Xenopus tropicalis: one gene and its partner. Each later gene encodes a partner of the first gene's protein in a complex. Links are inferred from orthologs where the notes say so. Each region holds a gene or a part of one and is shown on either strand. Other genes may lie near its edges.

Region 1 (4,906 bases):
TTAGTAGCCACAACAAGCAGCTGCTACTAGTAGCTCCGTGTGTCTTCACCCTTAAGATCCACAAACTTGGATCTTTAAGCCTGGTACAGTTACCTGTAATCAACCAGTCGTTCCAGCTTTTGTATGTAGGGGGTCAAGGAAGAGAATTGGGAGCCTAGTTAGTAAGCCCCGAATGCCCTAGGGACTAAATCCAGTTCACTATTGCTGCCTATTGCTTAGTATAGCTGTAACTATAGCTGCCTATTGCTTAGTATAGCTGTAACTATAGCTGCCTATTGCTTAGTATAGCTGTAACTATTGCTGCCTATTGCTTAGTATAGCTGTAACTATTGCTGCCTATTGCTTAGTATAGCTGTAACTATTGCTGCCTATTGCTTAGTATAGCTGTAACTATTGCTGCCTATTGCTTAGTATAGCTGTAACTACAGCTGCCTATTGCTTAGTATAGCTGTAACTATTGCTGCCTATTGCTTAGTATAGCTGTAACTATAGCTGCCTATTGCTTAGTATAGCTGTAACTATTGCTGCCTATTGCTTAGTATAGCTGTAACTATTGCTGCCTATTGCTTAGTATAGCTGTAACTATTGCTGCCTATTGCTTAGTATAGCTGTAACTATTGCTGCCTATTGCTTAGTATAGCTGTAACTATAGCTGCCTATTGCTTAGTATAGCTGTAACTATTGCTGCCTATTGCTTAGTATAGCTGTAACTATTGCTGCCTATTGCTTAGTATAGCTGTAACTATTGCTGCCTATTGCTTAGTATAGCTGTAACTATAGCTGCCTATTGCTTAGTATAGCTGTAACTATTGCTGCCTATTGCTTAGTATAGCTGTAACTATTGCTGCCTATTGCTTAGTATAGCTGTAACTATTGCTGCCTATTGCTTAGTATAGCTGTAACTATTGCTGCCTATTGCTTAGTATAGCTGTAACTATAGCTGCCTATTGCTTAGTATAGCTGTAACTATTGCTGCCTATTGCTTAGTATAGCTGTAACTATTGCTGCCTATTGCTTAGTATAGCTGTAACTATTGCTGCCTATTGCTTAGTATAGCTGTAACTATAGCTGCCTATTGCTTAGTATAGCTGTAACTATAGCTGCCTATTGCTTAGTATAGCTGTAACTATTGCTGCCTATTGCTTAGTATAGCTGTAACTATTGCTGCCTATTGCTTAGTATAGCTGTAACTATTGCTGCCTATTGCTTAGTATGGCTGTAACAAGGATGTCCAAAGGGATCAAAGCTGAAAGGAATGACCAAATGTTCTGTATGGGCCAACTGTAACAATAGTGAGGCAATAATTGAAAAACTGGGTGGGTTATAGGGTTTTTAAAAATCAAAAATTAAAACCATGTCCATTATTCACAAAAACATGGCAGTGTAACTTCAAATAAAATACTAAGTTTGGGATATCAGGAGCAGACTCTGAGGGTAGTGGGTATTGCTGGTAATCACCAGAAAAATAAAGCTTTTTTTCATATTTACCTCACCCACAAATATAAACAAAGTGTTTTTTTTGTTCCCATTTACATGTTCTGTGGAGCAGAGAAAGCAAATATTTGTTTTTTCATCAAACACTGGGGATAAAGCTTCTAAGGGCAGTGGCCATGGCAAGGAAACACGAAGGAAAAAAGCAGTCGTTATTTTCTTTATTTATTCTCTAACAAAATCAGAATCTGTGAGAGCAGAATAATCAGTCAGCGGCCCCCACTGCCAGCTATTGCCTGACTAACTCTTCACCCAATGACGAGTTGGCGCCGTCTCCGCCCCTTTTATACGTGGTTCATGACGTCATATTCTCGCGAGAGGAGGCTAGCGGCGTGTGGCTGAACATGCCTGCGGGATGCTTGGGGCTGGAAGTGCAAGCGGCGCTGCGGGGAATGTAAACACAGTGTGAGGGGGAAGCAGCCCGCTTGTCTGATTGTAACCGAGGGGAGATGGATGGGAGCAGCGAACGCAGTGCGGAAAGGGAAGATTCCGAGGAGGGACCGAGTGAGGAGGAGGTTCTGGGGCTCCAGCTGCCGGTGCCAAGAAGGAAACCCCACGGTAAAGACACTTAAGGGTATATTGATCATGCTGTGTAAAAAGTGGAGTAAAACATCACCAGTGTTGTTGTATATAGCAGCCAATCAGATGCTTTGATTTGATTTTCTAACTGTTGAAATCTAATTGCTGATTGGTTGCTCTGGGTAACATCACCAGTACTGCTTTACTCCACTTTTTACACAGCATGATAAGTACATACCTCCCAACATTTGAAAAATGAAAAGAGGGACAAAAAGATTTGGCGCGCGCGCAGTGCGGCATTTTTTTTAATCACGCCCCCTTTTGTGGCCACGCCCCAATTACCACACCCCATTAAAAAAAAATACCCCTTTTATATAGATGAAATGGCGGGCGCAGACGAAAATGTGCTATACCCTCATACTGTACTACCTAAGGAAAACAATATAGCAACTCCTACATATAAATACAAGTATAGAGAGAAGGCAGTCAGTTATAACTAAGTACCAGTTTTGCCCCCCCATACACAGTAGCCCCCCCATACACAGTAGCCCCCCCATACACAGTAACCCCCCCATACAGAGTAACCCCCCCATACAGAGTAGCCCCCCCATACAGAGTAGCCCCCCCATACACAGTAGCCCCCCATACACAGTAGCCCCCCATACACAGTAGCCCCCCATACACAGTAGCCCCCCATACACAGTAGCCGTCCCCCCGATCACAGTGTCCCCCCGATCACAGTGTCCCCCCCGATCACAGTGTCCCCCCCGATCACAGTGTCCCCCCGATCACAGTGTCCCCCCGATCACAGTGTCCCCCCCGATCACAGTGTCCCCCCCCACAGGTCCCCCCGATCACAGTGTCCCCCCCGATCACAGTGTCCCCCCCGATCACAGTGTCCCCCCCGATCACAGTGTCCCCCCCGATCACAGTGTCCCCCCCGATCACAGTGTCCCCCCCGATCACAGTGTCCCCCCCGATCACAGTGTCCCCCCCGATCACAGTGGCCCCCCCGATCACAGTGGCCCCCCATTCACAGTACCTCCCATAGGCGCAGGCTTCTTCTGCTGCTTCGTTATGCCTCTCCTTGTGCAGCGCGACAGGCCCTTTTATAAGGTTGCGCCCATGCGTAATGACGTCACACCCACAGGCGCAACCTTATAAAAGGGCCTGTAGCGCTGCACAAGGAGAGGCATAACGAAGCAGCCGACGAAGCAAGAACATCCGGCTACAGCAAGCGCATCCTGCTGTGCCGGATAGTTCCATGAATGTCCCGCAATGCGGGACAGTTGGGGGGTATGTAAGTATACCCCTTAGTAGTGACTGTCTGTGGCACCTTACAGCCCCCCTGGCATTCCCAGTACCCAGAGGCACAAACAGCCCCCCCAGCCCAATAAATAGTGACTGTCTGTGGCACCTTACAGCCCCCCTGGCATTCCCAGTACCCAGAGGCACAAACAGCCCCCCCAGCCCAATAAATAGTGACTGTCTGTGGCACCTTACAGCCCCCCTGGCATTCCCAGTACCCAGAGGCACAAACAGCCCCCCAGCCCAATAAATAGTGACTGTCTGTGGCACCTTACAGCCCCCCTGGCATTCCCAGTACCCAGAGGCACAAACAGCCCCCCCCCCCAGCCCAATAAATAGTGACTGTCTGTGGCACCTTACAGCCCCCCTGGCATTCCCAATACCCAGAGGCACAAACAGCCCCCCCCCCAGCCCAATAAATAGTGACTGTCTGTGGCACCTTACAGCCCCCTGGCATTCCCAGTACCCAGAGGCACAAACAGCCCCCCAGCCCAATAAATAGTGACTGTCTGTAGTACCTTACAGCCCCCCTGGCATTCCCAGTACCCAGAGGCACAAACAGCCCCCCCCCCAGCCCAATAAATAGTGACTGTCTGTGGCACCTTACAGCCCCCCGGCATTCCCAGTACCCAGAGGCACAAACAGCCCCCCCCCCAGCCCAATAAATAGTGACTGTCTGTGGCACCTTACAGCCCCCCTGGCATTCCCAGTACCCAGAGGCACAAACAGCTCCCCCCCAGCCCAATAAATAGTGACTGTCTGTGGCTCCTTACAGCCCCCCTGGCATTCCCAGTACCCAGAGGCACAAACAGCCCCCCCCAGCCCAATAAATAGTGACTGTCTGTGGCACCTTACAGCCCCCCTGGCATTCCCAGTACCCAGAGGCACAAACAGCCCCCCCAGCCCAATAAATAGTGACTGTCTGTGGCACCTTACAGCCCCCCGGCATTCCCAGTACCCAGAGGCACAAACAGCCCCCCCCCCAGCCCAATAAATAGTGACTGTCTGTGGCACCTTACAGCCCCCCTGGCATTCCCAGTACCCAGAGGCACAAACGCCCCCCCAGCCCAATAAATAGTGACTGTCTGTGGTACCTTACAGCAGCCCCTCTGGCATTCCCAGTACCCAGAGGCATTGGCCAGAACCCACAGATTGCCAGTCTGGGCCTGGTGTGGCTGTAGAGTTGCTAAATTGTATATAGGGAACCTCTGCCCTCAGTAAACTGATACATTTAGCCCTCATAAAGGAGACATATCATGTTAAAATTATGAATGTACCAGTGTATTATACTCCTCTAAATATGGAAGGATTGTGCTTTTAAAAGTCCCAGTAGTCCCGCCCATCTGTTCCACTTCCTGCTGGCTGAGTTCTTTGGATGTGCAGGGGGGCCAGCAGCACTCGGTATACTGCACTGTAGGATAGGAACCAACAATCAGCAGCTAGGCTGACCTGATAGGGAACTGAAGCCTGTCTGTGCTTGTGTGAGTGCAGGGCTGTGATTGGCTACTCCCCTCCTACTGTGCATCTGGCAGGGACCGTTCGGACACGCCTACCCCTCATTTGAAACACAGACTTGATAGGATCTATA
Region 2 (5,021 bases), about 90 Mb from region 1:
GCAGCACAGAACATGTGTAGGGAATCAGCAGAAAAGAAGATGGGGAGTTACTGGGCATCTGTGGAGGCACAAATCTTCCCTGCTTAAGGGCTGTGGTTGCCTTGGGCTGGTACAGAAACCCAAAACATAATGTATAACATTTCTGCCCTACTTCTTTAGTTAGGCTTTAGTTCTCCTTTTAAAAGGCTTGCTTCTGATGCAATAAGTATTAGGCTTTGAGCAGCAACAAACGTTGTTAAGTTAACCATTATAGTCAGAACACTACTTCCTCACAGCTCTCTAACCTCTTAGTCATTGACTTTGGGGGGGGGGGAACATGGGACTGTTAGTGAGACTTAGGGGCTGATTTACTAATCCACGAATCCGAATCCCGAATGGGAAAAAATCGGATTGGAAACGAACATTTTGCGATTTTTTCGTCGCCGTCACGACTGTTTCGTAAATTGTCGCGACTTTTTCGTAGCCATTACGACTTGCTCGGAAATTGTCACAACTTTTTTGTAGCCATTACGACTTGCTCGTAAATTGTCACAACTTTTTCGTAGCCATTACGACTTGCTCGTAAATTGTTGCGACTTTTTCGTAGCCGTTATGACTTGCTTGTATATTGTCGCGACTTTTTCGTATTGAGCGCTCGTAAATGGCGGGCAAACCTTTGCGACTTTGCATGATTTTGGAAGCCTCCCATAGGACTCAATGGCACTCTGCAGCTCCAACCTGGCCCAAGGAAAGTCACAATACTGAAGCTTGAAAGAATCTGAAACTTTCGTACTCGGCGCGACAGCTATGAAAAAGTCGCGAGAATTTACGAGCAAGTTGTAATGGCTACGAAAAAGTCTCGTCAATTTACGAGCAAGTCGTAATGGCTACGAAAAAGTCTCGACAATTTACGAGCAAGTCGTAATGGCTACGAAAAAGTCTCGACAATTTACGAGCATGTCGTAACGGCTACGAAAAAGTTGCGACAATTTACGAGCAAGTCATAATGGCTACAAAAAAGTTGCGTCAATTTCCGAAAAAATCGCAAAATACCGATCATTACGAATGAAACGCATTCGGACGTTCGTGGATTAGTAAATGTGACCCTTCGTTTGTGAGCAAAAGCAAACTAACTGAACAGTTCCTTGTGCGACCAAAAGCGATGTGTATACCATCCCACAGGCAATTTACATTCTTGCTGATGGAAAGGCATTTCAGAGATTAGTCGCCCGCAATGGTGAAGATTTATCATGGGCGACTAATCTCCGTGTGCCACTGCCCTAACGGCTATTATGCTAGACACCTGCTCACCCCAGCCTTTATAGATTACATTTTCGCTTAACAATATTGAGAATATTTATTTTGTGCAGTCTATTTTACCCAGTTTCATTTTTTACACTGAACTGTTACCCTAATGGTTTTACAATTGTGTCTGTAAAACGCAGATCTGTGCATTTGATTGTTACTATAACCAACATAATAATCAATAACTGCAAAAAAAACTAAAATTACTAAAATTTCACTGGGCTTTACTTTGCTGGTGGCAACCAGGAAAAAAAAAATCTTCCTTCCCTATATGAATGACTGCTAAGGAAATATTTGGAGCTGAGGTGGCAGAAGGCAACTGACATGAAAAATAGTCTTTTTCTCTTTTCTAACAGAAGTAGGAGTAGAACTGGAAGCTGACTTTCTAGCAGCTGCCTACTGTGTGACGCGATTACGTAGGCTCGTTACTCCCAGGCGGCTGCGTAATGCGTCATTGCGTTACGTGTAGTCGTGACGCCAGTCTCGCGTGATGAGACTTTGACGTCGGGATTTTCTGTAAACGAGACTAGAAGCCGGCAGGCTTTGCGGGAAGAGTAAGTAGTGATACGGGACTGCGGGTTTTGTAAGGAAAAGCGGGACTTTCGGGCAGTATGCACATACTTGGATTGCCGCCCTCCCCCTTCTGTCATTGATTTGGGAAGGGAGGGCGGAAGCTAGGGTTCCTATGTGTTCTTTCCAAATTGAAGGATGTGACGGCAAAATCATGCAGAACAGCACGTGGAAACATAAAAAAAAAATCAGCGTCAAAATTTCAAAGCAATAAGAATGTAGAAACTTAATAGTGTCAGGATATCTTTACGTATCTCCAAATTATTAAGGAAAACAGTCTGACCATTAGAAATCTCATTCAGTTATAGAAAACAAAATATCCCTGCACAGATATTAATAAGAGTCTACCTTTCTAGCTATCTGCCATGGCTGGCATTTTGTTTGAAGACATCTTTGATGTAAAGGATATTGATCCAGAAGGAAGAAAATTTGATCGAGGTAAGCAGCATAGCAAAGCCAAACATGTCTGCTCCAAACATGAAAGGTCCATTTATTTTCTTTACATTGCTAATGTTGTGACTTTTCTTCTAGTGTCAAGGTTACATTGTGAAAGTGAGTCTTTTAAGATGGATTTGATCCTTGATGTTAATATACAGGTTTATCCTGTGGACTTGGGTAAGTTGGGATTTGTTGTCTGTACATTGACATGATTATAGCAGTCATTTTTGAAATAGGAGTCCACTTTAGAGACAAACACAATATCATAAAATGAAAATAATATTTTCAGTGGATTTATGTTTTGCAAACACAACGTCTAAAATGTCAAAAACAAAATTGACTTATCTGACAGTTTTCAGCCTTTTGTTACCTGTTAAGTAACACTCTGCAAGTGTCGGTGAACCCTTAGCAACTATCATTTGCAAATACAGTTTATTTAGTCTGTCTGATTCTGGGTCTTGCCAGTTGTAAGACCAGAAACAAACTTTATTATGGTTAATGCATATCTTGGTGCAGTGTGCTGTTGGGGTGGTATCAGAAGCTGGAGGATTTTTAGGGTGAATAGGAGTTGATCCTCTAGTTGTGTAAGTAGCACATACCTGAAGTAGCTTGTAAAATCTATGGTGCGGGTTCTATAGATCTGCTTTATGGGTTCCATTCTAAAAAAAAATGATGGCATGGCTGGCACTGCATTGACTAAACACGGTGCATAAATGCAAAGATGTATTTAAATTCTACCACATTACCAGTGTTTTATGAAGATTAACTGCACAACAGTTGTTAAATTGTGTGTCCTCTTACTCTTCTTCCACAGGGGATAAATTCCGCTTGGTTATTGCCAGTACGCTCTATGAGGATGGTACATTGGATGACGGAGAGTACAATCCTACTGATGACCGACCCTCAAGGTATCATATTACTGCAGATAAATAAAAAGGAACATATGGTTCATCCTGTTGGTTTCCAAATTATAGTCTTTGTGAGGCACGTGACTCATGCATTGCATTTCTTCTTTTAGAGCTGACCAGTTTGAATACATCATGTACGGCAAGGTCTATCGGATAGAGGGTGATGAAACTTCCACAGAAGCCGCTACCCGCCTGTAAGAATCCAAATCATCTACCCAGTTACTTGCTTCTTCATCTTAAACCTGCATGTGCTCTTTGTATGAAAAGACAAGAAGGTTTTTGCACCTGGGCCAGAAAGGCAACACACAGAAATTATTAGGGATGCACCAAATCCCAGATTCGGTTCGGGATTCGCCCCAAATCCTGCCTTTTTTTGATGGATTCGGTTTCGGCTAAATCCACTGTCCCAGCCGAACCGAATCATAATTAGCATAAATTTGTATATTCTAATTAGCATCCAGAAAGGGTTAAAATTTAGGGGGGGAGAATCCACTATGCGAGGATTGATCGTCGCATAGTGGATTCTGCCCTGCATCGCTGTATCACCCTCTTTCAAATGACCGGAAGCCAAGATTTAGCAGGTATTTTCTAATAAAGCATTCAAAATAATAAATGGTGTGCAGGATAGGGCAATTATTGGGGCAGGGTAGAATACATTTTTTAATTAAAAATTTTTAGTGTTACTTTTCCTTTAACAATTATTGCCAGGCTCCACCATGCCAATAAGCTGAACTGTAGACCACATCCAATAAGAGGATTACTCCTATTGGAATCTATGGATATGGCAAGCCTAGAACTCCACAGTAAGGGTTATATTTATCATGCTGTGTAAAAAAGTGGAGTAAAACAGTACCAGTGATGTTGCTCATAGCAGCAAAATCAGATGCTTTGCTTTGGTTGAACTGTTGAAATCTAATTGCTGATTGGCTGCCCTGAGCAACATCACTAGTAATGCTTCACTCCACTTTTTACACAGCATAATAAATATACCCCAAAGTCTACAATATAGTGGGATGGAATTTAAAGATAAGGGTGCATGTTTCAGATTTACAGTTTAATCAGTAGAAGGTGATTTATTAGGGAATTCTCTGACATCTCTCACTTTTTAATAGACACCAAATTGAATTGTGCAGAATAAGCAGCACCATTTATGGTGGATGAAAGCAAGCAATACTAATAGGGTTTATTTTTCTGTAAACTTGAAAGGGACTTATGTTTCACTTGTGCCCTTACTCTTTCACACAAGTTGCCTCTACTTTCCAATATTCTCTGTGTTCCATAACGTGCTCATGTTTCCTCTAGGTCTGCATATGTATCATATGGAGGACTTCTAATGAGGCTTCAGGGAGATGCTAACAATCTGCATGGATTTGAAGTGGATTCTCGTGTTTACCTCTTGATGAAGAAGCTGGCTTTCTAATGCTGAAGGGAATTATTGAATGGTGCAGTATTGGAATGTAATATAGACCCTTTTGACATCTTGTATTTTTTTGTATTTTAATAAAATATTATTTTGTGATAAATAGTTCTTTTGAGGTTTTAATAATGCAGTCTGTGACATTTTAAAGGTGATCCTTTATGTTCTTAAAGCAATATACAAAAAAAAATCTCAACCAGTCATCAGTTAAATGACTGGTGCAGCTGGTTAAAAAAAAAGTTTTTTTTTCTAGGCAGTCTAATTGGCTTTTAAAAGGAAAGCTGGGTTCTGAAACAAAAGGCACTTTAGGCATGCATTTTGTCCTCTTCATGATCATTATTGTGGAGATCCACAAAGAGACAACATTGTACTAAACTAGTGATGCTATTTTGTAGCGATAATAC

What was found. The genes of interacting proteins can lie anywhere in the genome.
Region 2: taf1a (region 1) and polr2h share a complex: the UniProt entries of both Homo sapiens proteins name them as parts of the pol I pre-initiation complex. The link is inferred for Xenopus tropicalis from reciprocal best matches to the Homo sapiens genes TAF1A and POLR2H.

The regions. Positions count from the first base shown.
Region 1 is NC_030681.2:9,681,898-9,686,803, forward strand, and holds the start of taf1a (TATA box-binding protein-associated factor RNA polymerase I subunit A), read left to right. Parts: upstream 1-1,784; 5' UTR 1,785-1,940; coding exon 1,941-2,049; intron 2,050-4,906. UniProt on the Homo sapiens protein: Component of the transcription factor SL1/TIF-IB complex, which is involved in the assembly of the PIC (pre-initiation complex) during RNA polymerase I-dependent transcription.
Region 2 is NC_030681.2:99,527,220-99,532,240, reverse strand, and holds polr2h (DNA-directed RNA polymerases I, II, and III subunit RPABC3), read left to right. Parts: upstream 1-1,825; 5' UTR 1,826-1,838; intron 1,839-2,210; 5' UTR 2,211-2,219; coding exon 2,220-2,292; intron 2,293-2,385; coding exon 2,386-2,469; intron 2,470-3,106; coding exon 3,107-3,200; intron 3,201-3,310; coding exon 3,311-3,394; intron 3,395-4,502; coding exon 4,503-4,620; 3' UTR 4,621-4,723; downstream 4,724-5,021. UniProt on the Homo sapiens protein: DNA-dependent RNA polymerase catalyzes the transcription of DNA into RNA using the four ribonucleoside triphosphates as substrates.